Daphnia pulex: one gene and its partners. The protein of the gene in region 2 purifies or fractionates together with the protein of the main gene of each other region. This does not show direct contact. Links are inferred from orthologs where the notes say so. Each region holds a gene or a part of one and is shown on either strand. Other genes may lie near its edges. The genes, in order: CXXC-type zinc finger protein 1-like, UDP-N-acetylglucosamine--peptide N-acetylglucosaminyltransferase 110 kDa subunit-like and paired amphipathic helix protein Sin3b-like.

Region 1 (10,623 bases), on a different chromosome or scaffold from region 2:
TAAATAATAAGGCTAAGAATGGGTTGTCGAACAATTAGAGAAACTTTAGTTGACCCACTATAATAAGGCGGGAAATGCCCGATATCATTTTGATAAGGAAAACAAACGAAATTCACATGATGAAATGTTTCATTCATCGGTAACTTACCGTGAAGTGGTGAAAATTATTTCGACACAAATTTCTTCACTTACCAGGTGTCAATTTAGTAAAAGTTGTTTTTTTTTTTTTTTTTTTGTTTTTGTTTTGTTTTTTTGACAAATGTGATACACGCTCCAGGCCTGACTTGGCCGTTTTATGGCCCGTTGAAAGGTATAATTTTAAATTTTGTCAAATTTATTTTTCTTTTCGGCGGGATTTAGTGGACAGGCCAAGTTTTGCAGGTGCTCATAAATATTTATAACTCTTGTCGATAAGAATCTGAAAGAAAGTTCTTTCCATTCTGTTCCTTCTAAACGAGTCTGGTGCGTTCGGGGAAGATGACATCAGCAGCATCGTGAAATGCTCACGGCCACCAACGCGTTTTCTCCGACGAGAAATTGCCAACAGGGCACCGCCCTGTATTCATGACCTTTCCATCGAAATCGTGATAATCTTTCGCCCAAACGGAGAAAATGTTTTTGGCGATCTGAATGAGGTCGTGATAACCAAACAGACATTTTAATTTAGAATTCGTTCACCATAAATAATCGGCCCACATATTTCAAAAACGGACATAGCAACGGCGGTATTTAGAAAGCCGAAAAGTAAAAAAAAGGCGCAGTTGTTATTATTTTGTCTGTCCTTCAAACAGGCGTGTAGTCGAAGAAGAAAAGAGCGCTATACATCCCTGACAGATCTTCGGTCGCTAGGGAGAAATTTTACGAGATCGGCACTTTTGTTTCAACAGAGAGAGGAGGCATTATGCTGATTCACTTTCCCAACAAGTCGAACGACGAGTTCTTGCCAAAATTTTAAAAAAGTTGTAACACCGGCTTACTCTCTCCTCCGCTTCTATCCACATACGTCGAAGAATGTTGATCACCACACAGGCTCAACACAGCCATGTGGTAATAATCAGTGTAGCGTAAACGCCTTTTTTTCTTTTTACCATCACGTTGGTTGCTGTAACCCCCCGGTGAAAAATTCTCGGGTTGAACAAACTGTCTAACTCGACAAGCAATGACCGCGCACCGGCCGGTGCTTCATCAACGAATATTTATTATGTTGATAGCCTCAAGTCACTTTTCAAAGAATAAAAAAAAATAAAAAATGAAAGATTGATATACACACTTTTGATTTTAATGACATTGTGCATTCAAATCAGGTCGGTCACGTTCTCGTTCTTTTCCGAGAGAGCAAAAAAATTTCGTTTTGCTTTACAAGGAATGACAGTAGAAATTTCGAAATAGGTACAATTTCTGTTGAATAAAAAAAAAATGACGATCACATTATGATCGCTTTATATTTTTGAAAAAAAGGAGCCCTGTGGCGTTGTTTCAACAATCGTGCTGCAATACAACACCAGAACCACTTTTGAGTCTAGTGATTCGAATTTTATTTTTCCTTAATGTAGCCAACCATGATCGTTCAATCACCCCATTTAATAAGAGAAAGAAGTTATTTTAAGAAATGGTTGCGGTAATGATCTGAATCTCCTCCTCTTAAAAATTAAGGAGACTATGGAAATCGCTTTTTTAGTTTTATTTGGTCGAATCGGAAGATCGAACGTAAACAATGGAGAACCAGTTTGATGAATTTTGATCGAAATCGACGAGCGTAAATAAAACCCAATTTCACACGTGTAAATGTTTTCTCTAGTTAATCCTAAAAGATACGATTATTTCGCAAACACATTATTATCAAAAACAATGTGAATAAAGATATAAAATACTCCATCCGTATTTTATTGCTACTAAGTTGCAATTAACTGCAATTTTGTTTTTATAGAGTTTTCGATTAGCGTGACCAAAGTTTTCTTTTATATATTGTTAAAACAACTAGCATTTAAGTTTTTTATTTGTTTATTTGGCAATAATTGGTTCTCCAACAATTTTTCCAGAATTTTTATTTCAAAACTTGGCGACGCCTTCTGTGCTGCAAGTCCGCCCCTCTTTTGGTTGTTGAGGAACAACTTAGTACACACTGGTTTTGCGGGCCGTAGTCGACGTACTCTACCGCGAAGCAATTGTCACTTTCACTCGGGCTCAGTTTGTTGCTTTGTATCTCATATTCTGTATTAATGTTTGTTCTTTAGAAAGCTCACCTGTAAAACAGTTCTTGTGTGCCACTGTACGTTATGAGTCGAGTCCAATACGTTCTCTGTACATAGGCACACACACACACGTATCTCGTTCAGTAGTACCTGTCTTTATGTGTGTGTGTGTATCATATTTCTGCTCCAAGGTATCAATCGTTTTGTGATTCAACTATCGAGAGTGTAATGTTCAGTTGGCGATAAAAGTGAAGTCTACGTAAAGAAATTTTTTTTTCAGCAGCTGGGCTGTTGATGGAGATCCGTCTGCCAATTTTCGCTCGTCGTAAGAGAAACTTTCTCTCTAATAAGTGTTACCCTCTCCGCACCTGTGTATTTCGTGCTATGCATTAATCCAATGAAGACTCTGCTGTGGTGTTTAATTATCACTTTTAACTTTAAATAAGGAATGCATTTTAGCTAACTGACATTTCTAGCTTGTCATCACGTTCAAGTGCAATAACAACTCTGCAAAAGTTTATTAATCCGTTACTGCCCAGGTGTCAAACCTTTTCTCTCGAAATGAGTCCAGTTCTCAAGCGACCTGTTGTGTTGTTCATGGGGGTGTGTTTTGCCTGTGTGATATTGATATACTACCAGTCCAGTCATTCCCAAGGAAAACCTCACTATAGTGGGGTATGCAATACAGGTGTTGTAATGTGTCACTCATTTATTAAAGATGAATTCAAACTAATTCTCGTTTCAAATTTTCAGAAAATGTGAATTCAGCAGTTATGGATCAAGATGACCCCTGCATATTAAGTTTACTGCGTGGCCAATACTTACACCCTCCATCTAAAAATAAGCTTAGTCTTGAAGCACCAGAGGTTCCAAATCCTTCCATGGGGCAAGCTCAAAGTATACTTGAAATCTTGAAAAATAAGGTACAATAACAGTTTATCACGAAAGGTTGTTCGCATGTTTCAATGTTTATTGTACTGTTGCCCAACAGGAGAATGGCTTTTTTGTGGAATGTGGTGCCTTGGATGGCGAACTTCGTTCAAACACTTTGTTTATGGAACGAAATTTAGGTTGGGAAGGCGTTTTGATTGAAGCCGACCCCAAAAACTTCTTGAAAGTTCAAGAGAAAAATCGTCGAGCATGGACTGTTCCTGCTTGCCTTAGTACCTCCTCCAGTCCTAAGTAAATATTGACACACTTTTTACAAGCTTGACAAGCACTTTAATAATGAGCCTTTCATATTTGTTTGTTGTATGCAGAACTGTAGTATTCAAACAGGCTTTCAATCAAGGAAGAATCTCTCAAAACCAACTCGACGATCAGAATCGAGTGGGAAGCGTCCAAGTCCAATGCTTCCCAATATATTCTATCCTTGCAGCCCTCAACCGAACTGAAGTAGACTACTTCAGTTTAGATATTGAAGGCGACGAATTAGCTGTTCTGAAAACCATACCGTGGAATAATGTCAGAATTCAGGTATACTTTAAAAGCAAAATATATTTCATGTAGATATTTATTAACAATTGTTTATTACGTTTGTAGACCCTGTCAGTCGAGTTTATCCATGACAAAGAGGGTAAAGACCAGATTAGGGAATATATGACGTTGCAGGGCTATGAAGTGGTCAAAGAAGTCACCGACCCAAATTGGCTCGCAAACGATTTCATTTTTAACAAAATTTAGCCTTGAATCTAGCGTTATTGGCTGTTTCACGAGCGATCGGATATGCATCCCCCAAGCTGCTAGAGTGTTACCACATTTTTACTGAGCAAGCAACAAATTAGCTCTGGCATTTTTCCAAAGAAAAGCCGAAAGCTTCCTGGATGGAACAAAAACTCTGTTGTTTCCTCACTCCTGCCCAATTAGAAGACTAATGTTTTTTCCAAACAGTTTTATTATCATTCTTCAAAGTTGGCCAATATAGTTCATATACAAAAATTGCTTTCCTTGGTTTTCTTTCAACGTGCTCTTAGTCCAGCGAAACAGCCGAAGCGTAAACAACAAAGAGATAGCATATAAAATGGATCGATTGTGCTTTTTTTTTGAAATTACACTAATCACATACTCAAGTACTTGACAAAATTGGGCATAGGATCATCTTTACCGATAAACGCAAAATGTGGATTTAACTCTTCAATCTTCTTCTCGATAGACAGATTAGAAAATAACTCATCGTAGTTGTAGCCGCAAATTGTCTGGTGGTTCCACGCTTTTTCAATACGTTCGTCGACCGTTAACGAACTCTGACGGTAATTGACTTCAGACGTAGGAGCAGCAATGGTCATTTGCTCAAACGCTAATTTTCTGCCAGGAAACGTTTTCAAATTCTTTAAATGACTTTTTCCATTCAAATGATCCTGCATGGGTATAGGGCCTGAGCAAGTAAAGTCAACACAAACTTTACATTTGTATGATCCATCAGGTTGCAACACTGAAAATAAAGCAAATAAATGTTACAGCTAATGCAATTTTTTCTGGTGACTTGTGTGGAGTGAATAAGACTTTACATGCTGAAGACACATCGGCTAATGCAATTGGTAAGGAACCACTATTCATTGCTGGTGGAGAGTGAACTAGAGGAGCAGTTGGTTGCCGTTGACCATAAAGAGGTGACTTGACAGCTGTGTTAAACTGAGTGGACTCTTTGCCACGCTGGACGTTTTTCAAATGCTTTTTTCCTATCAAATGCTGCTCAAAAGGTATGTGACCACAACACTCGAAATCATCACAGCTTTTACATTTGAAATTTCCATTGGGCAAGACAACTATGTAAAAAAAATGAACATATTGAATGCTGGTATCAAAACACACAATATAAATTGAATTTATACTTGCTGCTGACATGTCAACTGCTAGGGGCTGATTCATTGTAACAGCTCTCATATGCTTCCCACCAATTACATGGGCATCCCACTGAGATTTTGAGTTCATTTGGACCTTACAATGAGCACAATAAAACTCGGCCATCTTTTCACGACAGTAAATGGTCAATAAATAATTAAAAGGTAAATTAAACTAAGCTATTTGCTAACTGCTTTTTACCTTTATACGTAAGTGAAAAACAGGATTCTGAGTACAATAACGTGGTGTTGTTATCAAATGCAAATATTGTGAATTGTTGACAATTGAACCATCGACTGCCATCTACCAGCGATCAAATAAGCTAGTACGATTTTAATAGCAGTTCCCTATCTCCTCGCCAGTTAGCACTCAGCTCAGCTTGTTGACAGATCACAATTCGACAACAAGGAAAGAAAGACACTTTTTAAAAAGAGTTGAATCCGCACGTTATTGAATCAAATTTCGCTAGTATCAAGAACTTTTAGTAATTCACCGTTTCAAGTTGTTTGATTATCTAACCTACCTCCTAAAAATGTCGGTAAGTGAACTACGTGTATATTTAGGCCTACGTGTTCAGTACTGTTACCTTCATTCTGTTATGAACAACTTTTGAATAGGAGTTAAAAGTCATTCTTTTTTTTTTAAATCTATAGAAAGATTACATATCAAAACACCATACATTGCCGGAGAGGCAATCTAAAATTGACCTTATGATGAGGCAAGAAGAACATGGTCTTGAAGAACAACTTTACTGCATCTGCCGTAGTTCTGATGCTAGTAGATTTATGATGTAAGTCTTCTAGAAACTAAATCTAGTTTTTTTCATTTTAAAAATATATTTTATGCATCAAATTTTCTATTTATTCAGTGGTTGTGACTATTGTGAAGATTGGTATCATGGAGACTGCATAGGTATATTGTATATCTGAACATAACTAAATAATGTAATTGGAACATGCTTAAATTTGACTAGATATTACTGAGGAAGAGTCCCGCTTCATAAAAAAGTTCTTCTGTCCAGTAATGCATTGATTTTTTATTTCTGTATTTTGCTATTTTATTTTTAAAAAATGTATGATTAATTTTTAGAAATGTAGACAAAGGGATCCCAGTTTGACAATCAAGTACAAACAAAAGAAATTAGAACAGGCAGGAAAGGAAGAGGCAGCAAAAAAAGCAAAGAAACGACAGGAAAAGAAGGAATCTACTCCACAATATCCCCATTGTGGTGAATGTATCGCTTGTTATCGAGTAGATAACTGTAACAAGTGTGACGCCTGTAAAGGGAAATCTCGTCAACAATGTAAATATCGAGTCTGTCTTACCTTCGCCCCAAAGGTATTACTCAATTTTAAAAATTTTACGCATAAAATAATTACTAAAAATGCATTAAATATTTACAGCAGAAGAAAGTCGAGATAAAATCTGAAGAAGATGAGCCTGTGGTAAAACCTGTCCTGAAAGAAGCAAACTATTCCGACGATGACGTCTGGGAGCCAAGTCTTCGGAAAGAGAAACCTCCTGTTCCAGCCCCTAAACCATCTCGACATTCAACCAATAAAAAGGTGTTTTATTTTTACTTCACTTCCAATTTCATTCCCTTTAACTAAAATTTCTGTTCCAGGAAAAAACAAAGGGGAGATACCGTTCCTCTGCGACTACTGGGGAACATCGCCGCAGAAAGAGAATTACGTCGTCGACAGATTCTGGAGGTGAAAGCGAAGTTGAAAAATCTCCGGCTCGGAATAAACAAAAAGTAAAGCATACTATTTCTTAAATGGTTTTATGTGGTAATTTATTGTTATTATCAACACAATTTCAGGTTATCCACTGTTATGGTCCCCAATGCATCAACGCTTCCCGACCTGGAAGTAAATATTGCAGTGACCAATGTGGTCTCAAATTGGCTACTACTCGTATTTATCAGGTTAGTTATTTTAATAGTTTTGTAAATAAAAAAACCGTGGGAAAATGTCGTTTTCGTACAGATTTTGCCTCAACGCATTCAAGAGTGGGGCTTAACACCTTGTATAGCCGAAGAGAAGAACAAGAAAGAGTTGGAACAAATTCGTAAACAGCAAACCGATGCCCGTGAAGCTTTGGAAGAACTAGATCTCAAACAAAAGGTTGAGTTTTATCATAGTGTTAAGTTTACTGGCATGTATCTAAAAGATTATGTTGATACCAATGCAGGAATTGGACGTAATAACAGCAAAGGCGAAAAAATTTACAGTAGACATAAACTCTGACGATGAAGCAGATGAAGGTGGAGACGGCGAAACGGAATCGGCCACTGTTCAGTGCGTTACTTGCGGCATCGGTGTTACACGTAAGTAAATGATCATTGGATAGTTAGGGTCAAAAATCATATTCCTTTTTAATATACTTGTTTAGAAACCAATGCCATTCGGCACATGGAGCGATGTTTCAACAAATACGAAAGTCAAACTTCGTTTGGTTCAATCTTCCAAACGAAGATAGAAGGCAACAACATGTTTTGCGACTTTTACAATCCAAATAACCGAACTTACTGCAAACGACTTCGTGTTCTATGTCCGGAGCATTGTAAAGATCCCAAGGTAATTTTCTCAAGATATATTAAGTTCGAATCTATGAAGTGTGACGTCTCCTTTTGTATAGGTCAATGACACTGATGTATGCGGGTATCCGTCGGTACGGAACGTCTTTGATGAAACTGGCGAATTCTGCTTGATTCAGAAGAAAAAGTGCGTCAAGCACAACAATTGGGAGAAGCTAAGAAGAGCCGAGATTGACATGGAAAGAGTTCGCCAGTGGCTGAAACTCGATGAACTATTCGAAAAAGAACGTCAAATCCGAACTGCCATGGCGCAGCGCGCTGGACTTTTACCGCTCATACTTCATTCAACTTTCAATCATGAATTAATGCAACAACAGCAGCAACAGTACGCTGGTCAAACTGGTGTTACCTCGGACAGCTCTGAGGCCTATGCAGCAGCCAATAAAAAACTTGCCATGGAAGACGATACTTAAGGTTGATTTTGTTTACATCATGTGAGGAATATCTCCGAACCTATTGTGGTGATAATAAATTTCATTGATTGATTGTTACTGCGATTTGATATTCAATTTCTAATTTGTAGTTTAATTCTCGGTTTATAGGCCTACTCATGACATTTATTTAAAACAAATTTCATGCCACTTTTTTAAGCTTTTCCCGTCATTGCCAATGGCATTTTCATGTGGCAACCACGCATGTTATTCGCAGCAGCAGGAAGAGGGAAAGGGTTATTTACTTATTTTGGAATTTTAGTCTTTTGTGTGGTTTGACACCTGAAAAGTGAATCTGAAATGGATGCACAATGACATATTTTTATTTTAAACTTGTGACTTTTTTTTAAGCTAACTTTAGCCAACATATTTGGTAAGCAGCACGATCTATTTTCTTACAGCATATTCTTAGAGATTTTGTCTGAGCCGGTTGTCCACTTAGATTATTTAATTTATAGAAATTGTTTTCTGCATTAGTAAATTCAGCCTCCATTTTGCTTCCACTTGCAGTTTAACTTAATTATAATGTAAGATTCCCATATGTTTCAACAATATTTTCCTGTAAGAGAAAGCCATTAAAGTTATTGAAATAATCTCCACGTATGCCCCCTCCTGATGTTGACATGCTAAAAATCTGCAACCATATTTCATCCCCTCTTTTCAAATTGAGTGTCGATTGTAAGGATAGCATCTCAGATTGACTACTCTCATCAGAATGACCAGCTCCCATTAATTCATCATTTTTATATAATCCCATATTGATAAACTGATATGTTGAACCAAATACCATCACTCCTGAAAAGGAAAAGAAATAAGTTCCTGATACAGGGGCTGTAAATTTTCCTGTCTCCAAGTTCATGGCTCCTCCTGTGTTTAGTCTTTCCACTTCGAAAGGAATAGGAATATTTTTTTTCCCAAACTTGGTTTTTCTCTGCACGAAGAAATAAGTTGGCGATGACTTGACGTCTAAAAATCCAATCAATTTCTGGAAATCTGCAAAGGTTGACTCAAATAAATAGATCCGTAATTTGATTATAATATAATTGAGCTTTATACCCGCATCACTGGAAAGCTTTGTAAAGTTGCAATAGACGCTTTTAACCGTTTGAGCTCCCATAATCGAATACAATCCGCTATGGGTGTGTCCGATCCTCCGAAGATCGTCGCAAGATCTAGGTATTTTGTCGAAGTTCTCTGCGCTTGTTTTTCCTGTTCATTTGGATCGCAACATACTTGATAGGTTTTTATTGAGATGCATTTAGCATTACCATTTCTTACCTAATAATCCTTTTGTCAGATTGGCTACGCTGAGCTTGAGACTGTGCCATTCGTCTGTGACTGTCATGTCAGCATTTTGGGCGAAATTCATAGGGATCGACAGGGCGGCGGCGGTGTAACGGATAGACACTTTACGATATTGCAGCGATAGTTGGTCTCTTAACTGTGCCAGTTTAAATCTATTGAGCGACAGCAGTTTGGGAATGAATTTATCACTAGCCCAGATGACGTGGTCTTTACTTTCTCGATAAAATGTTTCGATACCCTCCTTCGTCGTTGAGCCGTGACGGTATAATTCGTTAGTAGAGTTTGCTTCATCTGCAAATAACTCGATGAACTTTGCCACTTCGCCGTCTATTTTATCTGCATGGTGATACAACCTCCGCAACTTTTCTTGTCCTTCCGTGTTCATTTTTTCAAAAATTTTGTTCAACGTGTCCGAAGTTTTATCCGGTCGGTAAAAGTCGTCTGTCCAAAAGACCAAGTCCCAATCGCTTTGATCCTTAATGGTGGCCGTGGAAGAGAAGAGCAAGTTGTTCAACGAGTTATAAACAACCCGTCCCGAGTGAGGTGAAACGATATCCGAGTCCTTGAAAGTATCCATCAAGACATTAGTTGTCGTTTCTGCTAAAAGTTGCTTCTCGTCATTGGCAGTCAGGAAAACTTCTTTTGTGTCTTGACTGAATCTTCGCTGTAGTTTGTTAACCATTTGACTCGAAATGACATTTTCCATGCGGATGACTGTGTCCTTAGTTTCCGTAGTCTGACACGTCCAACTGAAGAGAAATTTTAAATAGTTGAACTGTTCGGGTTTGGAGCGCATGTCTTGAGCGAGTTGGTCGCAAACATTTCGTTCGAAACACGAAAGAGAAAATGGCAGTGATTTGTGGAATTCAAAAGGCAGCCAATTGGTGGTTAAAGAATCAGCTTTTGGTGGTATTGTACTGACGAGTACCACCTTCTCGAAGGGTATCACTTGCACTTGATGAGGTTGAACTTCGTGATCGACTACTTTGCTTAAATACTTCACCACTTCGCTTTCGACGATATCGTTCCACATTTCAATGCGGAATCGAATCTCCTGGAGCATCGTGATGTTGTTGAATTGACTGACGGCACTTTGGTGATCTAGCAGGGCGATGGGAGCGTAGAAAAACTTGTTGTTGCTTTGGTCACTTTTGTTATTGCTTGCGTGTTGGTAAATGTTCACTCGAAAACTGCCGTAGGGCATAGAGCAAAGTTCAGTAGGAGATATTTGCAGTTTAGTCCATGGCGAAATTTT
Region 2 (10,526 bases):
ACATTACTTGGATTGGAGCCGGGCGCATTGCGAAAATTTCGTTGCGAGCACCTACAACAAACAAATATAGAATTATTCAATTAAGATGTTTCGATAAAAGAATTCTGTGCTATTTACCTTTAGTGTAACCATTCATGTTCACCAAAATATGGATGCCGTCAGCATTTATTCTATCTGCTGCTTTGCCATTGCAAATTATCTAAGGATGAAATTCAACATTAATGCTATTTCCCAAATAAGGAATACACAATACAGCAATATAATCGATTCTTGTTGTATGTTTACCTGTGATAGGTCAACAAAGTGTTCAGATTCGCGCGCTATTTTGGCCCGGAAAGTTGTTCCGTCGTCAGGACTTAAAGAGTAACAAAATATTTCAACACGGGAGCGTTCGTGAAATCCTGGAACTGATTGCATTAAGTGGCTTGTTGGGTGGTTTCCGAAGTCGGAGGAGACATAGCCGATACGCAAACGTCCATTCGTTGCAAGTTCTTTGGGATATTTGAAATTTGCCTTATGAAGGATTAGGATCTTCAAATACATAGGAAAAAAAGAAAACATTTATAATACCAAAAGTCAATGTTATTCACGGCGATTACTGAAGCTTAACCGGTAAGCTAGCGATTAGTAATTCATTGTCTAAGTATATTTACCTTTTCGACGCAGAGATTTGCATGTCGAGCAGCTATAGCTTTTCTATATTCATGAGAGAGCGGATATAGCATTGAATGATGCGGGTGAACTGACGGCAATCGATTGCGTTCGAGTTGCTCTCCCACAATATGGATTAACCGTTTCATTCGGGTTTCATAATCGGTCCAATCACAGACAATTTGCAAACAGTGGGCCAAGTTGCAATAGGCTGAATTAAAGTAAATAAATAAATAAGTAACAGTTTTCAAAAATAATGGTTTTAATTATAAAATTTACCATCGGGGAAATCTGGTTTTAGTTTCAAAGCTGTACGGTAGGACTGTATTGCTTCTGGAATTTGTCCGCTGTCCTATTAACGAAACAAAATAAGAGAAGAATTATTTTGTGTGTTCCACAAGCAACAATGAGAGCGTTAGAAGCATCTTAACAATGGGAGTGAATACCGTACCTTGTGAATGGAAGCCAAATTTGAATGAGCATCGGCAAAGGCAGGGTTGATCTGAATGGCTCGTGTGTAACACTGAAGAGCACCATTGATATCCTGCATTTCTTTGAGCGTGTTTCCCATGTTGCTATACGCATCGGCAAATGACGGTTGAATCCTAGTTTTCAAGTTACATATTTCAAGTAAGCTAGACATGAATTATCAAGACGGAACTTTAAATCATACCGTATTGCTTCTTTGTAGTGCATGAGGGCTTCGTTCAGTTTGCCTTGTTGTTGTAATACGGAAGCGAGATTACTGTGAGCTGCCGCGAAGTCGGGAAAGACATCTAGAGCTTTAAGATAAAGCCGTGTAGCTTCTTCAATGAATCCTTGTTCCCGCTTGATGTTGGCTAGGTTATTTAGCGAATCCGCGTGAGCTGGACATAGACGCAAAGCTGTCGAATAACAATCTTCGGCATCCTATTACAGTCAAGAAAAAAAAACTCGCTTTAGCTTTCTTGGCAAGTGAAACTAAAAAAATAAAGAACTAAAAACGAGTAAGGAAGACTTGGTTAGGAGGAACGACCCACCAAAACTTGGTTGTCCTACTTCATTAAAGGAATATGTATATTAATAGACTATGGAGGTTGGGAAGGGTTTAACCTTTTCCCTCTTTCATTCACTATAGTTTAGAATAAGAAACTTTTCCTTTTTAAAATGATAACTTATTTAACAAGAGTATGAATTTTTTAAGACACGAAATGTCATTTTACACAACATAGGGACATTTTAAGTTCAAGCAATAAAAACGAAAATGATTCGAATTTTTGGAAACTATCATTTCATTACCTGTACTTGTCCTTTCTCCTTGAGAGCATTAGCGAGGTTACAGTACGCTGAAAAGAAAAACGTAGAAATGTGATAACAGATTTAAGAGTAACGTTTAATATTCAAGTTACCGTCCGGGAAATGCGGTTGCAATTCAATTGCTCGTCGGTAGGTATCAATGGCAAGGTCGATAAGACCCTAAAGTGTACCATAAAGCAGCAAGTAAAAAGAAGCCTTTAGGCATTTACATTTTTTTATCACATTTAAGTTTTCAATTACCTGCTCGTAGTACACACAGGCCATATTTCCGTGAACGACGGCATGGTTAGGACTAAGATTTAGCGCCCTTAAGTATGCTGCAACGGCCCTGCAATAATAAAAAAAAAAAAAAAACCTTAAGACTTATATCCCTTCTACAAATATTTAAACGACAGGGAAGTAAAACCAGCCAAGTAATAAACATTGGCAAAATAAGTCTCCAACACTGGCCAGAGTTTATTTTAAAGCTATTTTTAACATTATTTTAGATGCCCACTGGCTAAAATTGTCAACTCGGTTAGTCTGCCGACGCTTGTGTTGAGACGCGCAGATTCCAGCGCACTTCCTTTGTCCTACCCCTCGTTGTTTCGAGCGAATCAATCGATATCGTGCGTTGAAAGAAGAGATAGCACTACATACTAGATATCCTTCTCTTCACTGTCATCGCAGAAAACAGCAAGGAGGACACTCCTCGTTCGCATGCGAATGTTGTAAACACTATACTGCATCAAATAGATCGACATACCGTTTAAGACGAGAAACCACGCAAACCAAACATCCACTGCGCAGACTACTGTCATTCACTGATTGAGCTAGAGAGTGGTAACGACTTTCATCAGCCGAAATGTTGACAATCGTGTAGATAACCACACACTGGTAGTCCATTTGGATAACGTGGGCATGACCTTTGCCCAACGTTACAGAGTTACTATGAATTCTAAAGGAATACTACACGGGCATCACAAGAAAGAAGACTCTGACTTTGGTCAAACAATTAGTTGACAGGTAAATGTTTTCAACAATAAGTGAACGTGTCTGGAGATGTAAAAAATTTCATGACGAACCTAACGATTCAAGCTAGGCAACTGGTGTCTCGTCAAGGATGCCCAAGCCATTTTTATCCCACCTCCCGTGAGTGGAGCGTAACCGATCGGAATGAGCGTGCGCAGTCCCTTCGATTACTCAACTTTCCCCACATCATCTACGGTAGACTGGTCACCCCGCCCCTTAACACTCTAACTACCACCCTCCTCCTCCCCATTAATAAAAAATAAACTAAAAAATAAAAGCACAACCAGAATTAGCACAAATAATTTGAAAATTTAACACAAAATTAACGCTAAAGTTAAAAAATAATTTTCTGATCGCGAATACGAAACTTGGACATAGCTATCGTTATCATAAATACTATGATCATCATTCAGAATAAAAAACTGGCTGGAGAGTCCTCAATGATAGAAATAAAAAATAAATACGTCGGAGGTGATGTTTGGGTGGGAGAAGGAGAAGGGTCCTACCGAAATGAGGGCACGTTTCCTGTGCATTTTTTTTTTTCGCAAGACAGTGGCAAACCAAGAGAGGAAAATAAAAAAAAAGAAGAGCACATACGAGCCAACTCGAAATGACGCAAGCTACAAACGCACGAGACGAGAAATTTACAATCACCGAAACTAACAACATTCTTAACAACTTTTTTCTCGTCCATAAACAACATCTCTTAAAATATCTATTTCCATCCCTCACACTATTTAACCTATCGATATAAGAACTTCGACATCATAATATTATTAAATCTTACCTGTCGAAAATCCTAGCTTCTTTCAGAACATTGCCCAAGTTTATGTAAGCTGTAAAAAGAAATATGATGGTTAAATGAGGTAAATTCACATTTTCAAATGTTAAAAGTATTTTACCATCAAGAAAGTTGGGGTCCAAAGTGACAGCCTTTTCGAAATGATGAATGGCTAGCCAAATGTCCCCTTGCGCGTTAAACACACATCCTACGTTTCGTGAGAAAACAAACACGCATAGATAATTAGCATTTTACAACTTCTGAATAATTGACTAAAACGCATTACCAAGATTGGACCACGCCACTGCAAAATCACCCCGAGTCTCAATTGCTTTCAAATAGCAAGCCTTTCCACATATGAAGTAAAATACGGATAAAATTATTTTCCCAGTTAAATGTTGAAGAATGTCAAATTATGATTATTAATCAGTGTTTCGAATATTAGTAAGCCCCATATTCTGGGTGGCTTACACTGGAGATTACACTTATCATGGGCAATGCGCTGCTGTTAGCTGACAAGGGTAAAGGGTCGCGCGCGCGCAATCGCAAGGGAGCATGGGTAAGGGATAGCGGCTGGTGCGGCGAATAATTTCGCATGCTATGGGAGCTTGAGCGCGTTTAGAGTTGTTTTCATCGCGGCTGCACTTACCGCCTACCGAAAAGAGCAAGTAGAATCCACCACGAGGTTAGCTTTCTGCATTTAGACGTCTAGCTGGATAGAACCTATGGATATATCCTATGTGGTAGGCAGAAGGTTTAGGAGGAGCATATGAAAAATGGCTCGGAGCAGAAGATGCACATACAAATTTTCGATATGTTGGTTCTCCGTGAAAATCTCGATGAAAATATGCTGAAAACTGAAACTATTAACATAATCGTTGAACAGAAGAATGGATTACTGCAGAATTTTCCACCACATTTCCTATAGATATCAAGAAAGTTTATGGAGTGTCGGGATGAACATATCACAGACATTACGTCCTAAGTCTTTTCCACCTAAAAATTTAAAATTCCACTTTGGGGCCATTATCATGTGATGATTATCAACAATAGTACTACACAATAATAATAATCTGAAGCACATTGTATATGAACATTAAACAAATGAGCTGAGCATCCCATATTTCTGATCAATTACTGGATTTCTTTACCTTGGCCTCATCCAATCTTCCAAGAGCTTTAAGCAAGTTCCCTAGGTCACTACGGACACAGTAAAGATCCTAAAAAGATTGATCCTTAATAAGTAAAGGCACTCAATAAAACAAAAGTAATCAACATACTGGATTATACTGCAATGCTGAGACATATGCTTGGACTGCTCCTTCCATATCTCCAGCAGCAACTAAGGCAGCAGCCAGATTAATATAACCATCTATGAAATCAGGCTTCAGTCTAACTGCATGACGATAATTATCAAGTGCTTCAGCCAATTGACCACGTTCTTTAAAAACATTTCCAAGATTTGAATATGCTGTAAACAGAAGAAAAGTTATAGAAATTGTGCATAAACCAAAAACAAATACAATTTAATACTACCTTCAGCTAATAGTGGATTTTGCTTGATTGCTAGAAGGGAAGAACTTTTAGATTAGTACAAAACTCAGCATTAATTCTGCAAAATATCCTTAATTCCTTACCATATGTAGAAAATTGAGCAGACCTGAAACGAGAATACAATTGTAAACATTGAAATCTGTACAAAATGTGTAAAATATTACTTGTCGTAGCGTCTACATTGGAAGTGTATTGAAGATAGGAGTAGAAGGACTCCAGTGTTTGTTGGATCTTGACGCCACAGCTGCATACAGTGACGTTCAGCATTTTCATAATCACCTGCCTGGTATTCTCTGTGGGCTAATTCAGCCAAACCTTAAGAATGAACAACAAAGTTAGTATATTATCAATGCAAATTTTGAAATAAAATTTTTTGACAGAAATGTTTGGTATGTGTTTATGAATGTATAACTTTTTTGAAAAATTGAAAAAAATAGACGGTAAAAACATCATCCTGTTATCGCGTGTTTGATCTAATCTCTGCCCTTCCAATGTTCCAAAACAAATGGGGCAAGATACTAGAAACTTGCTTTGACATTAACTTACTGAAAGATGAAAGTTGATCAGGTATCTTTAGAACAATACCTCCTGCAATTTGTTGATTTTGAAGTGACTGCATTTTCCTGTGTTAAAGTTTGACACTGATGGGAAGATGGAACAAGTAATGGCTACACGATGAGTCTAGATCGTTTGGAAAAGAGACTCGATAACAATGGAATGACTGCTTCACTGTAAGCAAGTGTATGTGCTGCTCAAAGCCTCAAGTGACTTAGTGCGTTTTTTATGCCATAAACTAATCCAGAGGGCGCATCTCTTTTCTATCTGCCGTGCCCCTGATAAGCAATGTTTGATTGAGCATTTGAGTGGTAAGTAGGAGGCTATTATCGTTCATCAAACTAGTGTTTAGTAATAGTCAATAGAAAAAATTTGAAAAACAATTTTAATAGAAATTAAATTTCCCTCGATTAATTAAACAGCGAACCCTTGATAGGCGAGTCAAGTGGCGCCGCCATCTCATTTTCCACAGCCAATATTATATCAAAGGGTAAATGAATTGATGTAATTGAATAACTAATACATCAGTAAAAATCTCGGCCGTTAATTATAACGACATTATAATAAACAAAAAAACAAAAAAATTACAGCAAAAACACTTATAGTTATAGACCGGTAACGGATGCTGAGTTGCCAAGCTTTGAAACTCTTCCTGTGAAAAAAGGTGGGGAAATTGGGATAGGCGGATGCGGTCTAAAACTAGCTTTGTTGTTTAGCTTATTCAAATTTGTTATATTTATCTAGTTAGATAAATTTATTATTAACTTAGTTACTTTGAGAAGAAAACAATAGGTAATTTCTGAGTGATCTGGGCCCGCGCCGCCGTCCGTCCGCCCGCGCTAAATCAAAGGAGTCTAGATCTAGAAGTTGGCAAAATGGTTAGTTCCAAAACTGAGGATAAGTGAGTTTAATCGTTAAATTTCCCACTTTCGTTTTATCCTCTATTAGTTTAATTAGCTCAATTTCAATATTCCGTATAAATTTTCTTTCTCAGCAGTTTTGCAACTTAGCATTCCGGCTTTCTATCAAAGCAGACGACTTGCATGGTATCACATGTGTGAAAAATTCAAACAACTTGTTTGTGTTAGTTGTGAATTTGTGGTTAGGCTACTGATTTCTTAGTGTAAACAAATTCAGATTCACTCGAATCAGATTTACTCTGTTACAGTTATGATTGAGTGGGACTTGATTGAAAACCTTCATCGTAAGCAATACAGTATCAAAATGGGATTTTCGTATACTTTATTATTTCTTATTATACGTTTCCAGGGCGAGGTCTAGAGCACATATTGGATCAAATTTTTGGATATTTGGATTATTATTGTCTTCGACGGGCTGAGTTGGTATCCGTCGTTTGGCAAGAAGCTTTGTTGGAAGGGAAAATCTGGAAAACATTACTCGGTAGAAATGTAAGTAGGCTTATTATGGCAGTGATTATTATGTTGTATCAAACCATGTTATAATATAATTTTGCTATGTATCCAGATGCGTCTCTTTCCATGCTGGAAGGATATGTTTGTTGCCTTGAAAGGAATGAAGCATAAAAGTTTGGATTTTCAAGATGACTCTGCTGAATACTATCGTAAAATTTGCTGTTTAATTGAAGTTGAATTACAGGTCTAACATTTTATTTTGTCATCTTTTTATCATCTTTATCAAGTTTTCTTTGATAATAGGTGCTTGAATCAAATTGGAAGAAGATGAAATACTCTGAACGCAAAAGTGAATTTGGATGCATTTCCCATAATTTATCAACTTTTTATAATTCAGCAGACTATTATGACTTGAATGGAGATTGGATTGTCAGAGTACAGCCAGATCGCAGAATTGTTATACGAAATAGATGGACCCTTGAAATCGAAGATGTATGTTTCTGATTAAAGACCCATAGAATATGGTATTTGATAGTTTTTTTTAATTTATGTGTTATAATTTTTTATATTTTAGGTTCTTGAAATCCCGATCATGCAAATTCAGTTCAACGAAATTATACCGGTTTTGAAATCCGTTAAAATCAACGACAGCTTCATTGTGGCTTCATTTATTCACCATCCGGAAATATGTGTCTGGGATACGAAAACTAGGGATCTAGTATATTATTTGCAATATAAAATTAATGCTTTTTCATCAAGTTTAATGAAATGTATGCTTTATTTCTCTAGCTTTACGTGATAGATATGGATTCCTGTGGCATTCAAGAAGAAGAAGAAAACGACGAAGAATCATTATATCATTCAGAATGCGGACTGAGTCTATGGAAAAACCTTCTGTTATCCTGTTACACTAGGGTAAAGAAAAGTTATTGCAATTTTGCTTGCTCAAGCTAATTTAATTCAAATTTCCTTCTTAAAGTCATTAATAGGTCTATCTTGGATTCTCACTTTGAGATGCTTATCACCATTCATGGGTGAAGAAGTAGTAATACTACATAGGACAGTCATTGTGGGACCCGGAATTATGTGGGGACTTTTCGTGGACGAAATCTACACCGTAATTTTTTTTTTACACTATCAGTCACTATCAGAAGATGTGACTGTTGAAATTCGGAGTACGACATCTTTTGAAATAAAATCCGTTATCAAGTTAAATTCCAAAGACATCCCTTCTGGCTTCCACTATGCGAACGGATTGGTAGTTACTGGCCCTGGTGACCGGGGAAAATCGATTAGGTAACCACGTTCAAATTCATACATTTTAAAACATTAACCAGAATAATTTGGCCCTTTCTTAAAATAGAATTTGGGATGTAGTTACGGGACAATGTATTGTCAAAATTCCCCATCGTGAAACTCTCGCTTCGATCCGGTATTTTACATTAAATATTAAATAAAATTCGATGTCTGATACATATTTAATCAATTTATTCATTCAATTAGGCTTGTTTCAAATAAATACATCGTTGGCTGCGAAAATTCGTGTAAAATAAAAATTTGGGATCTCCAGACTGCTCTCAAATCAAATCGTAGTCCCAATCCTGGATGTCTAATGAAGACAATCCCACCTCCTCCAGTACCGTACTTGGATATACTGTTTCCCCCATCATTAGCAGTTGACGAATTTCAGATAGTCCTTGTTAGTCAATTTGATCGTCGATCATTCCGTCTAAGTGTGAAAAACTTTTTGGATGCTGCCAAATAGTCAGTACAGCAGAATTTTTCCTGTTGCAGCTGTTGCTCAACTTTGCTTTCATTCATCTCGGGCTAAATGAAAAAATCAGTCAATACAGATATGTCATTACTTTTGTTATTGATCCAAATTCCTAACATTTTCTTGCAAATAAATTGAATTTCCAACTCAGAAACTAAAGTCGTAAAATCATCTATAATTTTTAAAAATCACTAGTGCATTCATGGAATGACCCGCGTTTATTGTAGCTGTACACGTATCATACAAACAAGCTTCCACATGACTAGACAATAACTTGTTAAAATTGAACGAGATTATTTACAGGGAACATTTTTCATTGTCATTATTAATTATTGATTTTTTTTTTCACAAGAAAAGTGCGTATAATTTCACAAATTAGCTCTGAATGATATTATTCTCTCGCCTGCTGGTGAACAGCCAGATCGTAGTTGTGAGCCTCTGCATAGAGCGAAGACTCGTTATCGATGTTCTCGTTCTGCAAAACCATTTGGCATCCAGCATCGTCAGATCCGCTGTCATCCTCATCATCGCCATCCCCTCCAAAGTTGTTGCATTCTGACTGGGCTCCTCGTTCGGGGAAATGATGAGAAGGTTCGTATGAAAAATGTTTGCCAGTCGAGAAATTCTTCATGGCAATCCTTGGCGATTCGATGGGTTGGACTGTCCGGTCGACGAAACAGGAGCCGTTGGGTAGCAAATGACTTGTGAGACTGCGAGGTGGATCGTAGTTACTACACTTGCTGTTGGGATGCTTATTAGGTGGTCCCTGATAGTTCTGATGCGAGTTAAACGGCCGTACGTAGCTGTTGAGCCGTGGATAGGCAATATTGCAAAGATCCTGGTTGACTGGGGGCATCACTCCAGTTGGCCTTACATTTTCTATGGGGTTGTGATAGGCGTAAGCGTACTCGTTGCTTCCAGAGTCGCTGACCTCTTCGTTGTCTTCCGGCGAATTTGGTTCCTCCTCGGCGACAACTTGGTAGTGATCGGGGGAGTATCTTGAACCGTTGGAACCGGTGGCACTGCTGTTGCTGGCCAATGGGGAGACTGATGACCTCCTGGTTGGATTCACTCCAGTAACCGTCGGAGTCAATCCGTTTCGCTTGGATAGGGCTGGCGAATTGTGAACTGGCAGTGAAGGTCCGTTATTGTGAGATGCGTTCTTGAAAACGAAATGACTGGCTAACGTCTGTCAAGTTCCAAAAGAAGAAAATTGATTAAATGAAATAGTTGTATGCGTGAGAATATGATACTCTATACCTCGTGATTCGGTCGATCAAACACGCTCTGTGAAGGGCTGGAAGGTGGGGGGTGACGCGGCGGAGGAGGTAATAATTCACCCAGGTTGGGCAGCAGTTTCACACCGTTACTATTGTTACTCTGTCGGCTTTTGGAGCTCTTCCCTGATGGATAGGCCCGGCGGCAGCGCTCGCCCAATTCGTCCGTCGTGTAACCGCTCGAATCGGAGGCGGAGAAGGCCGAACACGAAGCCATGTAAGGGTCGTGGTGGTTGCCGCCAACCTGCTGTTGT
Region 3 (10,320 bases), on a different chromosome or scaffold from region 2:
AGCTGCGATTACGCGAGGAAAGGACAAAATTACTAACTGGTGGAAACGGAATTATCACTTAAATCTTTTCGCTGTATAATCAGTGAATTGTCACTTTTGTCCTATTGCTTGTCGTTTTTGTTCAAATAAATGCTTTTAAAAACTAACTTACCTTTCATTGTAAGCAACAAAAGTATTTATAAGGTGTGTTGAATGAAGTCAATTCCGAAAATTCCGTAATCAGTTAGGGTTCTATTAAAAAAAAAGATGTTTACTATTTAAAGACGTTAAGACTTTTCACTTTTTGTCTTAAACTCCGATTAGTTCAATCATTCTTGATTCTTGAGTGCTAATATTTGATTGATAGATTTGCGTTTGTGCTTGCGATAAAAGTTGTTTCGATAAAAGAAAACACTACGCGCTATTTTTTAAAGTTGCTTTTAATAGACTGAAAAATTTGACGCCAGGTGGCACTTTTTGCATTGAATTTTTTTTTACAAATTTAACTGAAATACAATCGCAAAATAAAAGAAGTTCATTTTACGATATTAATTAGTAGAAATATAATTAGACAGTAAATTAATTATTTATCACATTCATAGAACCAAAATAATTTAGGTTTGCATTGATTATCTGACATCTGGCACTCCAGCATCCTTGTGTAGCCATTGCCAAGCGTAGTGAAATAGACAATTTCACTTCTTTTCGTAAACGTGTTTAGCCGGCTGAGAGCTCCCTTACAAGATGCCCGTGAGTCCCTTTAATTTAAATATTTTCTGTGTTGTTTGACGATATCCTCAAATTGTTTTCACCTAATAGCGAATAAGTTTTGTACTTGCAATAATTCTTCTTAAATTTCCTTTGTCGATCTCGTGTATTACTTCTTATTGGGCCATGTGCCCTCGCATGAGGCCCTATGGCGGCCATCTTTATCTTGAAAAAAATGTCTTCCTGTGTACAGAAAAACAAGATTTTTCGTCTCTTAATTGAGTTAATTTTTATTTTCAGCTCGCACGTGATTTGTTGCATCCTACTCCGGAAGAGGAGCGCAGGCGGCACAAGCTGAAGCGTTTGGTTCAACATCCCAACAGTTATTTCATGGATGTCAAGTGCCCTGGTAACTATAATCTGATATCTTAAAATTTCATGAAATCAATTTTGCCAGGCAACTACACCTCATCGGGGATTGTTTGAATGCACATATGATAGTCCAGCTTTTTCTCATATGAATTAGTTGGAAGAAAAAAAGTGCAACATTATTTGGAAATTCTTGGCAGAACTGAATGGATAAAATGACATAACAGTTTTGAGAAATTCACACAAATGAATAAAATAGGCATTACCTATTGTAAAGGGAATTGATAAATTTGTAGTGGGTTATTCACAAAGTGAGCTGGGGCAGTCTAATTTTATATTTTTTATAGACATGGCTCAAACACCAGTATATGATGTTTGTTGTGATACATTTCTTTGTTCCTAGGCTGTTACAAGATCACCACGGTTTTCTCCCATGCACAGACTGTTGTGGTGTGTGCTGGCTGCTCAGCAGTGTTGTGTCAACCAACTGGTGGACGAGCCAGGTTGACTGAAGGTAAATGATTCAATATAACAATAATCTTGATGTCTCCTGAAAGTAGCAGTGTAGAATGTTAAACAGAATTCATGTTAGTTTCTTTGCAAAACTAATCAAATCGTTTTCTATTCAGGCTGCTCTTTCCGCAGGAAACAACATTGAAGAAATATGCAGTTTGGCCTGGCTGCACCTTATTGTACTTCATCTAAGATACCATTCATATGTAAAGAGTGAATACAAGTTGCATTGTCAAGGCTATTCTGAGTCTTTGTTTAACTGTCTGAAAAGTATAAAGTGTATCTGTGCAAATAAGCCTTAACATGGCAAGTCTCGTATAATTCCTTCTAACACGCAAATCGTAAAGGGTACATCTTAAAACCGCGGACATGTTGGGACATGTCTATGCTGCAATGCTAATATGACGTCTTATTGTGCAACAGACGATTGACACGTTACGGTCGTGACATTAAGGACAAAGTCAATGTATGAAAATTAAACCTGCGAGTAATGTCCGACTATCCAAAATAAATATTTCATTATGACTGACATTGACATTTCCTATTTATTTATTTAAAATTTTGGAATCAAAGTTCTAAATCTGACCACAAGATGTCTAATTGTCGTTATTTGTTTCGTCTGTCTTGACAGATCGTGTGTGCTGAGTACTTGTTTCATTCTTGAAATCTAATTCTTCGGAAATGATCAAAGCTATACTCGTGTTTAACAATCATGGAAAACCTCGTTTATCCAAATTCTACCAATATTTTGTAAGTTGAAAACGTTTAGGCGCTTTATACTATTGAAACTAACAAGTGAAGTTGTGACAGAATGAAGACATGCAACAGCAGATTGTTCGTGAAACTTTTCAGCTTGTTAGTAAGCGCGATGATAATGTCTGTAATTTCCTTGAAGGTGGAAGGTATGTTTAGTTATAATTTGTTATAAAAATAGTTTTTAATTCTGAATTTCAGTTTGATAGGAGGATCTGACTATAAATTGATCTATCGCCATTATGCTACTTTATATTTTGTGTTCTGTGTTGATTCCTCTGAATCTGAGTTAGGTATACTAGATCTCATTCAGGTATTTGTTGAAACCTTGGATCGCTGCTTTGAAAATGTTTGTGAACTGGATTTGATATTCCATGTGGATAAGGTACATTTATTTATTCCTTCACTTGTCAATTGTCTTTTAATTTTCTACTATTTTGATATCTTCTAGGTTCATTACATCTTGAATGAGTTAGTCATGGGAGGAATGGTTTTGGAGACCAACATGTCTGAAATTTTAAGTCGGATAGAAGATCAAAATAAACTAGAAAAATCAGAAGCAGGGCTTATTAGCCTCAAGAATGTGAATCTTCCTAATTTACCCAACATTCCTCAGCAGATAAAAGATATTAAACTTCCAGATCTACCTCAAGCTATCAAAGACTTAAAATTCTAATGCAATGGCTCTCAATTCTAAATAATTTTTGCTGTATTGAAATACACCATATATACGTTTAAATTATGCTGTTATTATTATTTTATGTCTTTTTATCAAATTCGTATGTTTATGTTTTATCAAATTCGTGATTCTGAACGTGATAGATGGATTAAAGATTTTCGTGAAAAAAAAATAGCTTTTAGTACTGTACGATAGATGGCCATTTTCCTATTCAGTTTGAACATAACTTCCCGCTTTCAAACAGCGCCTGCTGTATTTTCCCATCTCGCCGCCATCATTCGTCGTCTGGCCAGTTAATACCTCTGTTCCTCTCTTAAACAACTAACGTGTATTTCAATTGTTGGTGAATTTCAGTGATTTTTCTCACTTTAAGAAGCATGCTTGAGTGATCTTTGATCAACTAGAGACTTAACTAGCAACATTTTCTCTCTTTTGGTAAGTTATTCGACTTTATTCGTTATTCATCTCGTTAATGGTTTTCTTGGGCATCACGGCATCACGAAGAATTTGCAAGTTCACGCAAGATGTTTATTTGATGGAATGGGAATGTTTCAGCGTCGTTTTATCGTTATCAAAACCTGTTAATCGCGTAAGTCAAATAAAGTACGGTTTTGACGTTAATTATAGAAAGACATGATCGTTTAGTATGTGTTGAGCTCTCTAGGATCGAACTTGGGCTGTTTGAGCGTGGCAACACAGCTGATGGTTTGTGTCCCTTTACCCAACCCCATCATTCTGGATTTTCTTACCTCCCTCAGGCTACGCGTTTCCGGACCTTTTGAGAGCAGGCAGGCCAGGCCTCTCTACCCCCTCTCCCAAACAACACCCAACCCCTCGTTTCGCTGCATCCCGATAGTGCAGCATTGCCGGTTTACCAACTAGTTTATTCGCATTTTTAGAGTTTTTTAAAAATCGAAATAAAACGTCATTTTCCACATTTCGAAATTGTGTTTATCGCAAGTGACATGAGAACGAGCGGCGAATATTGTTATCAGAGTTACAAGTCTTAACGCGATCGATTGTTGATGGTTTCCAGCGCCAGCACTAGTCGCTCCGTATCAGGCATGGCGAGTAGTGTCGGTAGTTTCAGACGCCAGCAAATTCGAGTCACTCTTCGAAAGAGCACTACAGTGAAAAGCCTCTGGGTCGTCGTCACCTAGTTGTGAGAGATCCCAGACGACGTGTGTGTGTACATGTTTGCCTCTGCTCTCTGTGTGGCATAGTGAGAGATTCCTGAAGAAAGTGAACGCCATTTCTTCTTCATCGTGAATTAAATTGAGTAAAGGGTTTGCAACTCGAGTTTCACGTGATTCGACCGTTAGTGTACTCAATCCGGCGATAGTTTCTTGGAACTATCCGAGCTTAAACGAGAGGGGGAAAAACGACGGCCATAGTTTCTCTTTTAGTACTACTGCTGCTTTAAGCAGAAACACAGTGTAAGCGTCGGCGTTGTGTGAAACTTTCGATCTTCGGTTTTCATAGTTTCTTCACATGGACATTCACCATTCATTTACGCTGCTTAAAGGTGACCTTCATTGACCTTACGTTTTCTTTGATTTCTCGTAATCGACTCGTTCATTTTAGTCGTGTCTTGGTCGTGATTGCTCGTCTTTCATTTCCCATTCTTTTAACATAATTTACTTGATAACAAATGGTTGACATGGAATTGTAATGATCTAGATTTGAACAGAGGAAGAGTTTTTAAGTCCCGTGAGACTTGAAAACTTGTAGCAAAAGAAATGTCTTATTATGTGATGTGACGTGTGTTGTGTACGGCATTCCTGTGCTCATTGCTGGCCAAAGTGAAGCGGAGACCGCTCTTTTTCGCCTTTCGATGAGCCAATAAGAAATCGGTTTCAAACCGCTTCACAGCTGTTCTGAGGTTGTGCGTCTCCCTTCGAATTCTACCCAATATGGAGTCGGTCCACTTAGGTCGGCGTTATTATCGAAGCGCTTCGCATCCACTATTTCCTCCAGTGTTTAGTCTGCGTTAGTTCTGCTGCAAAGTAAAGTCTATGATAATGGTTTCAGAGGGAAAACAGTGGAATATCGCTATTTTTTCATTGTTACAGAGGTTGTTGGATGCATGACGAAAACGGGATTTTTGTTGATTGAACGTGTCTATTGATAGGTACAAGTCCGTTCTGAATGGTCTAAAAGCGGTTTTAGTGGGACCGCAACGTTGCCATATTTAGTATACTCCGTCTCCCACATACTATTTCCGGAAAGCATTTGAAATCTCGTGGCAATTGACGTTTAATTTCGAACATCCCTTTTAAATGAACAAAACTGTCTTTTTAAATTTATTTGCAGCAACAAATTTCAGTTAATATTTCTTTAAATCCAGTTGTTGTCTGTAAATTCCCGATTTCCTTTGTCCGGCAGCAATGTTGTCGTTTCTCTTTGGGCGGGAAAGGCGGTGGGATCGATATTTGTGTTGAGACCCGAGGAAGAAGACTCCCGGGTTAGTTGAATAATCGATCCGTCCGCTGAGCAACAGACGCAGCTCTGCAAAAAGTGTATTTAGCTTAAAAATAAAAATGACTCTGAAAACTGCATTGCTGGCGTCCAGTGGGATTTGTTTACTAACTGTCTGTGATTTGTGTTCTTCTACAGTCGGCTGTCTAAGCAATGCCCTACAGCTGGATTGAGAATGAAACGCAACGAAGATTCCGTACACATTTCGCCCTCCGCCGTTGAGTCTGTAGCACGACCATTGAGTGGATCAATCCAGTCCGGCCGCGTCTCCCCTACGTCACCTATGGTGAATGCAATACTAGTTGGAGACTTGAGGAACGCTGCAAATCAGTTACAGGTACATCCTTTTCCCATAGTGTTGCTGTGCCTGTATACTCAATATATTCATTGCTAAATAGGAGCCCTCCATAGCAGCAAGTATGGCCTCTTTTAGTACAAGTGGGTTTGTGGCAGCTGCGAATGGCAGCACCACAGTTACAATTGGTCCTATTGGCACCAGCCCACCAGTGCCATTCTCTACTACTATTCAAACAACGAAAGCCTCCACTGCTGGTGGAGCAACACAAGTTGTGGCTCAGCAACAACACATCTTCCATCAGTCCCTGGCACATCAACAAGCACGTCACAGTTTGGCTACTGCTGCTGCCCCAGCTGGATCTCCTCCGACAGGTCAATCAACATCTCAGCAGACACAACAGCAGCAACAAAATACAATGCAACAGGCTTTTCAGGTGAGAAACTTTAAACATTTAATAGTTTGTGTGTGTCCGTTATTGCTAACTATGTATGTCTCTATAGCAAATGACTGCTGGTCCTCATGGCCCTGGTGCCCAGCAATTTCAGCGATTGAAGGTGGAAGATGCCCTTTCATATTTGGATCAGGTCAAATACAAGTTTGGCAACCAACCTCAGGTTTATAATGATTTCCTTGATATTATGAAGGAATTTAAATCTCAAAGGTAAGCATGGGTGTTGATTAAAGAAAAGTAAGGCTTTGATTAACATGGAATTATGATCTTCTAGTATCGACACACCCGGTGTCATTGCTCGTGTTTCTTCTTTATTCCGCGGCCATCCGGAGCTCATTGTGGGATTCAACACTTTTTTACCTCCTGGATACAAGATAGAAGTTCAAGCTGAGCAGGTTTGTTGTTTGTTTTTTTTTAAATTGTATCGTAAATGTTTACTGATGAATGTGTCTTCTAGGTTTCTGTTAGTGTTCCTGGTAGTCTTGGTGTCCCTGCTCACATCCACCACATCACACATGGCCCAGTACCAATAACTACCACTACTACTCAGCAACTTGATGTGGTTGCTCGAAGCACGCCCCCGATTCAGCAAGTTAGCATTACTACCGTTCCGCAATTAACTGTTGCTGCACCAATCCAGCAGATTCCAGCAGTGGCGATCCCGGTCAAAGAAGGTAAAATCTTCGTGTATTTTTATTCTGGCTTGACAAAATTGTTTTAACCCGTTTTCCTCTGTTTAGTTGTACCTACAGTAAAAGCTACAGGGAATTCTCCTATATCGAATGCTGGTTCAATTTCAACTGCAGCCACTACATACAGTTTGGGCTCTCAACAGAAAGAATCATCTTCCAGTCCTCAACTAGGTTCTGCCGCGCATGGATATGCAAACAGTTCATCACAGGGTGCAGCCGCTGTAGTCAATGCAGCATTTGGTGTTCCAAATGCGTCGCAGCCAGTTGAATTTAATCACGCCATTAATTACGTCAACAAGATAAAGAACCGCTTCCAGGGTCAACCGGATATCTACAAACAGTTTCTTGAGATACTACACACGTACCAAAAGGAACAGCGCTCGCTGAAAGAGGGTCTCGTCAGCCCACTAAACTATCGACCTACATTGACTGAAGCTGAAGTCTATGCTAAAGTTGCTCAACTCTTTCAAAATCAAGAAGACCTCTTACAGGTTAATTTCTATATTGTTTTTGGTGAAATATGTTTATTTATGCTGTTTTTATTATTATTTTAGGAATTTGGCCAATTTCTACCTGATGCTACTAATGTTACTCGTGGCGGTAGTTGCGGTGGTGGTTTGGTGCCGGTCACACTGCCAGCCATTCCAACGGGGCATACAAAGAAGCCAAGTCCTGTCACCGAGACATCTAAGCCTCCAGTGCTTGCAAGTAGTAACTTAACCGGATCATCAGTTGCACCACCGCCGAAAGCTCCACTTAAACGTCCTGCACCTCCGCCTATCATATCGTCCCCGACGGTCGGTATGAATTTGATTCCGAAAAAGAAGCCTCGACTAGATCCTGGTAGCGGCAAAGATAACTCGATTGCCGAAATAGGAAAGTTTGGCACAATGAACGAATTGGCTTTTTTCGACAAAGTAAGGCGCGTCGCTTGCCGATCACGCGATGTGTACGAAAACTTTCTTCGTTGCTTGGTCATGTACAATCAGGAAATAATCAGCAAAATGGAGTTGCTTCAAATCACAACCCCCTTTCTAAGTCGCCATCCTGATCTGCTCAAATGGTTCAAAGATTTCCTCGGACTCAAAGGTTGTTATCTTTTTATTGGTTTACTGTATCTTTTAATGTTGTAACATATTATCTGGATCTATAGAAGGAACTGGCGTTGGAGGTTACTTCACTCATGTTGAAGCTCAACCTATAAGTTTGATACGTTCGCGAATGGAGCGAGAAATGTATCCTTCAACCAAGGATGGGAAAGAGTCACGGGACCACGACATGCAAGCAATGGAGATTGACTACTCGACGTGCAAACGTCTCGGTACATCATACTGCGCTCTACCGAAAAGCTACGAACCTCCAAAGTGCTCCGGACGAACGCCGCTTTGCAAAGAGGTGCTGAATGAGACCTGGGTCAGCTTTCCCACTTGGTCAAGCGAGGATTCGACTTTTGTTAGCTCTCGCAAAACGCAATACGAAGAATACATTTACCGGACAGAAGATGAACGCTACGAGCTGGATATTGTGCTAGAGACGCACATGAGCACGATACGTGTTCTAGAAGGCGTTCTGAAGAAGCTTAATCACCGAATGAATGCCGAAGAAGCCAATCGGTTCAAATTGGACGATTGTCTTGGTGGATCTTCTCCTACCATCCACATCCGGGCCATTCGACGTATTTATGGCGACAAAGCGACCGAGATTATAGAAGGGTTGAAACGAAGTCCTCAAGTGGCCATCCCCGTGGTGCTCCGTCGCATGAAGGCAAAAGAAGAAGAGTGGCGTGAAGCTCAGAAAGGTTTCAACAAAATATGGCGTGACCAGAATGAAAAGTATTATCTCAAGAGCCTCGACCATCTAGGAACTAATTTCAAGCAAAATGACGTGAAAGCGCTTCGCTCTAAGGCGCTTATCAACGAAATAGAGACACTTTTTGAAGAACGTAATGAAGAAAACGCCAACAAGACTGATATGGGCCGTTCAACTAATGCAAGCAGTGGGCCTCATCTTAAATTAGTTTACAAGTCACGCCAGAAGGTGCTGGATGACGCAGCTGATCTCCTCATTCATCACGCAAAACGCCAAACTGGCATTACTAAAGAGGATAAACGACGCATCAAAACATTATTGAGGCATACGGTACCCGATCTCTTCCGTCACCCTCGTCAGGAACTTAGTGAAGACGAGAGAGAAAATGATGACGACGACGATGTCGAAGACAAGGATGAGCAAGACACAAGTTCAAAGAGGGAAAAAAGGAAGAGTAGCAAAATGACTAATGGCGGACGTGGTAATACGAAGGCACCGACATTGGAAGCGTTAGCCACTTTGGATGACGACGAATATACACTATTCCTTGCCAACAGTCATTGGTATGTCTTCCTTCGATTGCATCACATATTATGTGAACGGCTCACCAAAATAGGAGATAGGGCTGCCATTCTACTCCAAGAGGAAAAGGAAGAAGTAGCCAAGTCTCGTTCGCGCTCCAATGGTCGTCACAAGGAGAACGACAGCGTAGCTGTGGCTTTACGACTCAAACCGAAAGCAGAAGTGGAAATCGACCAGTACTACTCGCACTTCCTTTCGATGGTAAAGAATTTGTTGGATGGTAACATCGAAGCGCTACAATTTGAAGATTCACTCCGTGAAATGTTCGGTATCCACGCTTACTCTGCGTTCACTCTTGATAAAGTCATCGCCAATGCCGTCCGTCAACTCGGTCATCTGGTCACTGATCAAACGTGCCTGCAGTGCACCGAAATATTTCTCGAGGAACATGGGCTGAAGGGTTCTTCGAAAGGCATGTTGACCGAAGATGGATGCAATGACGAAGGAAAACAATCTGCGTCTGAAATGTCTTACCAGCGAAGAATGGAACAGTTACTAGCTGACGAAAACCTCTTCAGAATTGTTTTATGGCATAAGAACGAAGAGACAACTATCGCAATTGAAATGCTGGACACGGATACACACTCCAGCTGTTCAGGAGACAATCCTCCTTTGCAAGATGTGCGTAACTGGTCAAATTACGTCGAGGGCTATGTTTCAGATCGAATGGATCAAGTTATGTCGGAGAAAACCAGACGAAAAAACACGGATCCGTCGTTGATCGCAGCCCATTCCCGCGTTAGAAAACCAGTCTTCCTGCAAAGAAATCTGAAGCAATGGGAACGACGTCGTCGGAAAGATGGCACCGCTAAGGCATCGCGTTCCAAGACTTCCGGTAAGATATTTAGATATTATCTTGAGCATGTCGTGAGTGTTGCAAACCTTTAATTAAGCCAATTGTTCGCATTAATTTTGGTTGTCAATGAATGAATAATTATTTTGCATTCTTTGTATTTTGTTTTTAGATGTTCCCATGGATGTGGACGACACCACACAGAAGGACGTTACA

What was found.
Region 1: the proteins of UDP-N-acetylglucosamine--peptide N-acetylglucosaminyltransferase 110 kDa subunit-like (region 2) and CXXC-type zinc finger protein 1-like purify together in Homo sapiens (affinity purification with mass spectrometry; 3 studies listed by BioGRID and IntAct, with this or other methods). This does not show direct contact. The link is inferred for Daphnia pulex from reciprocal best matches to the Homo sapiens genes OGT and CXXC1.
Region 3: the proteins of UDP-N-acetylglucosamine--peptide N-acetylglucosaminyltransferase 110 kDa subunit-like (region 2) and paired amphipathic helix protein Sin3b-like purify together in Homo sapiens (affinity purification with western blotting; 4 studies listed by BioGRID, with this or other methods). This does not show direct contact. The link is inferred for Daphnia pulex from reciprocal best matches to the Homo sapiens genes OGT and SIN3A.

The regions. Positions count from the first base shown.
Region 1 is NC_060019.1:1,599,686-1,610,308, reverse strand, and holds CXXC-type zinc finger protein 1-like, read left to right. Parts: upstream 1-5,399; 5' UTR 5,400-5,565; coding exon 5,566-5,571; intron 5,572-5,686; coding exon 5,687-5,823; intron 5,824-5,901; coding exon 5,902-5,945; intron 5,946-6,006; coding exon 6,007-6,053; intron 6,054-6,122; coding exon 6,123-6,371; intron 6,372-6,436; coding exon 6,437-6,598; intron 6,599-6,657; coding exon 6,658-6,789; intron 6,790-6,855; coding exon 6,856-6,960; intron 6,961-7,021; coding exon 7,022-7,159; intron 7,160-7,226; coding exon 7,227-7,362; intron 7,363-7,427; coding exon 7,428-7,612; intron 7,613-7,673; coding exon 7,674-8,045; 3' UTR 8,046-8,123; downstream 8,124-10,623. Other genes in the region: protein Star-like, read left to right, coding at 2,754-2,880, 2,946-3,115, 3,184-3,374, 3,452-3,668, 3,735-3,875; uncharacterized protein LOC124190992, read right to left, coding at 4,250-4,623, 4,700-4,957, 5,024-5,159, 5,235-5,336; uncharacterized protein LOC124190982, read right to left, coding at 8,584-9,056, 9,120-9,272, 9,342-10,623. UniProt on the Homo sapiens protein: Transcriptional activator that exhibits a unique DNA binding specificity for CpG unmethylated motifs with a preference for CpGG.
Region 2 is NC_060021.1:542,027-552,552, reverse strand, and holds the start of UDP-N-acetylglucosamine--peptide N-acetylglucosaminyltransferase 110 kDa subunit-like, read right to left. Parts: upstream 6,060-10,526; 5' UTR 5,913-6,059; coding exon 5,840-5,912; intron 5,609-5,839; coding exon 5,458-5,608; intron 5,400-5,457; coding exon 5,377-5,399; intron 5,306-5,376; coding exon 5,276-5,305; intron 5,211-5,275; coding exon 5,020-5,210; intron 4,960-5,019; coding exon 4,891-4,959; intron 4,087-4,890; coding exon 4,026-4,086; intron 3,948-4,025; coding exon 3,861-3,947; intron 3,795-3,860; coding exon 3,746-3,794; intron 3,100-3,745; exon of another isoform or gene 2,833-3,099; coding exon of another isoform or gene 2,693-2,832; intron 2,276-2,692; coding exon 2,188-2,275; intron 2,107-2,187; coding exon 2,040-2,106; intron 1,977-2,039; coding exon 1,930-1,976; intron 1,561-1,929; coding exon 1,325-1,560; intron 1,257-1,324; coding exon 1,103-1,256; intron 1,004-1,102; coding exon 931-1,003; intron 863-930; coding exon 654-862; intron 532-653; coding exon 286-531; intron 200-285; coding exon 118-199; and 2 more. Other genes in the region: F-box/WD repeat-containing protein 11-like, read left to right, coding at 7,019-7,052, 7,118-7,257, 7,334-7,465, 7,525-7,713, 7,796-7,939, 8,011-8,136, 8,201-8,517, 8,585-8,653 and 1 more; protein sax-3-like, read right to left, coding at 9,387-10,184, 10,256-10,526. UniProt on the Homo sapiens protein: Catalyzes the transfer of a single N-acetylglucosamine from UDP-GlcNAc to a serine or threonine residue in cytoplasmic and nuclear proteins resulting in their modification with a beta-linked N-acetylglucosamine (O-GlcNAc).
Region 3 is NC_060024.1:9,527,513-9,537,832, reverse strand, and holds the start of paired amphipathic helix protein Sin3b-like, read left to right. Parts: upstream 1-3,244; 5' UTR 3,245-3,436; intron 3,437-3,943; exon of another isoform or gene 3,944-4,526; intron 4,527-5,617; 5' UTR 5,618-5,654; coding exon 5,655-5,816; intron 5,817-5,877; coding exon 5,878-6,210; intron 6,211-6,277; coding exon 6,278-6,438; intron 6,439-6,502; coding exon 6,503-6,623; intron 6,624-6,685; coding exon 6,686-6,902; intron 6,903-6,968; coding exon 6,969-7,411; intron 7,412-7,474; coding exon 7,475-8,009; intron 8,010-8,073; coding exon 8,074-10,146; intron 10,147-10,276; coding exon 10,277-10,320. Other genes in the region: ralA-binding protein 1-like, read left to right, coding at 1-62; 40S ribosomal protein S27, read left to right, coding at 724-729, 988-1,096, 1,460-1,570, 1,686-1,714; AP-3 complex subunit sigma-2-like, read left to right, coding at 2,251-2,319, 2,380-2,471, 2,524-2,707, 2,774-2,998. UniProt on the Homo sapiens protein: Acts as a transcriptional repressor. Corepressor for REST. Interacts with MXI1 to repress MYC responsive genes and antagonize MYC oncogenic activities. Also interacts with MXD1-MAX heterodimers to repress transcription by tethering SIN3A to DNA.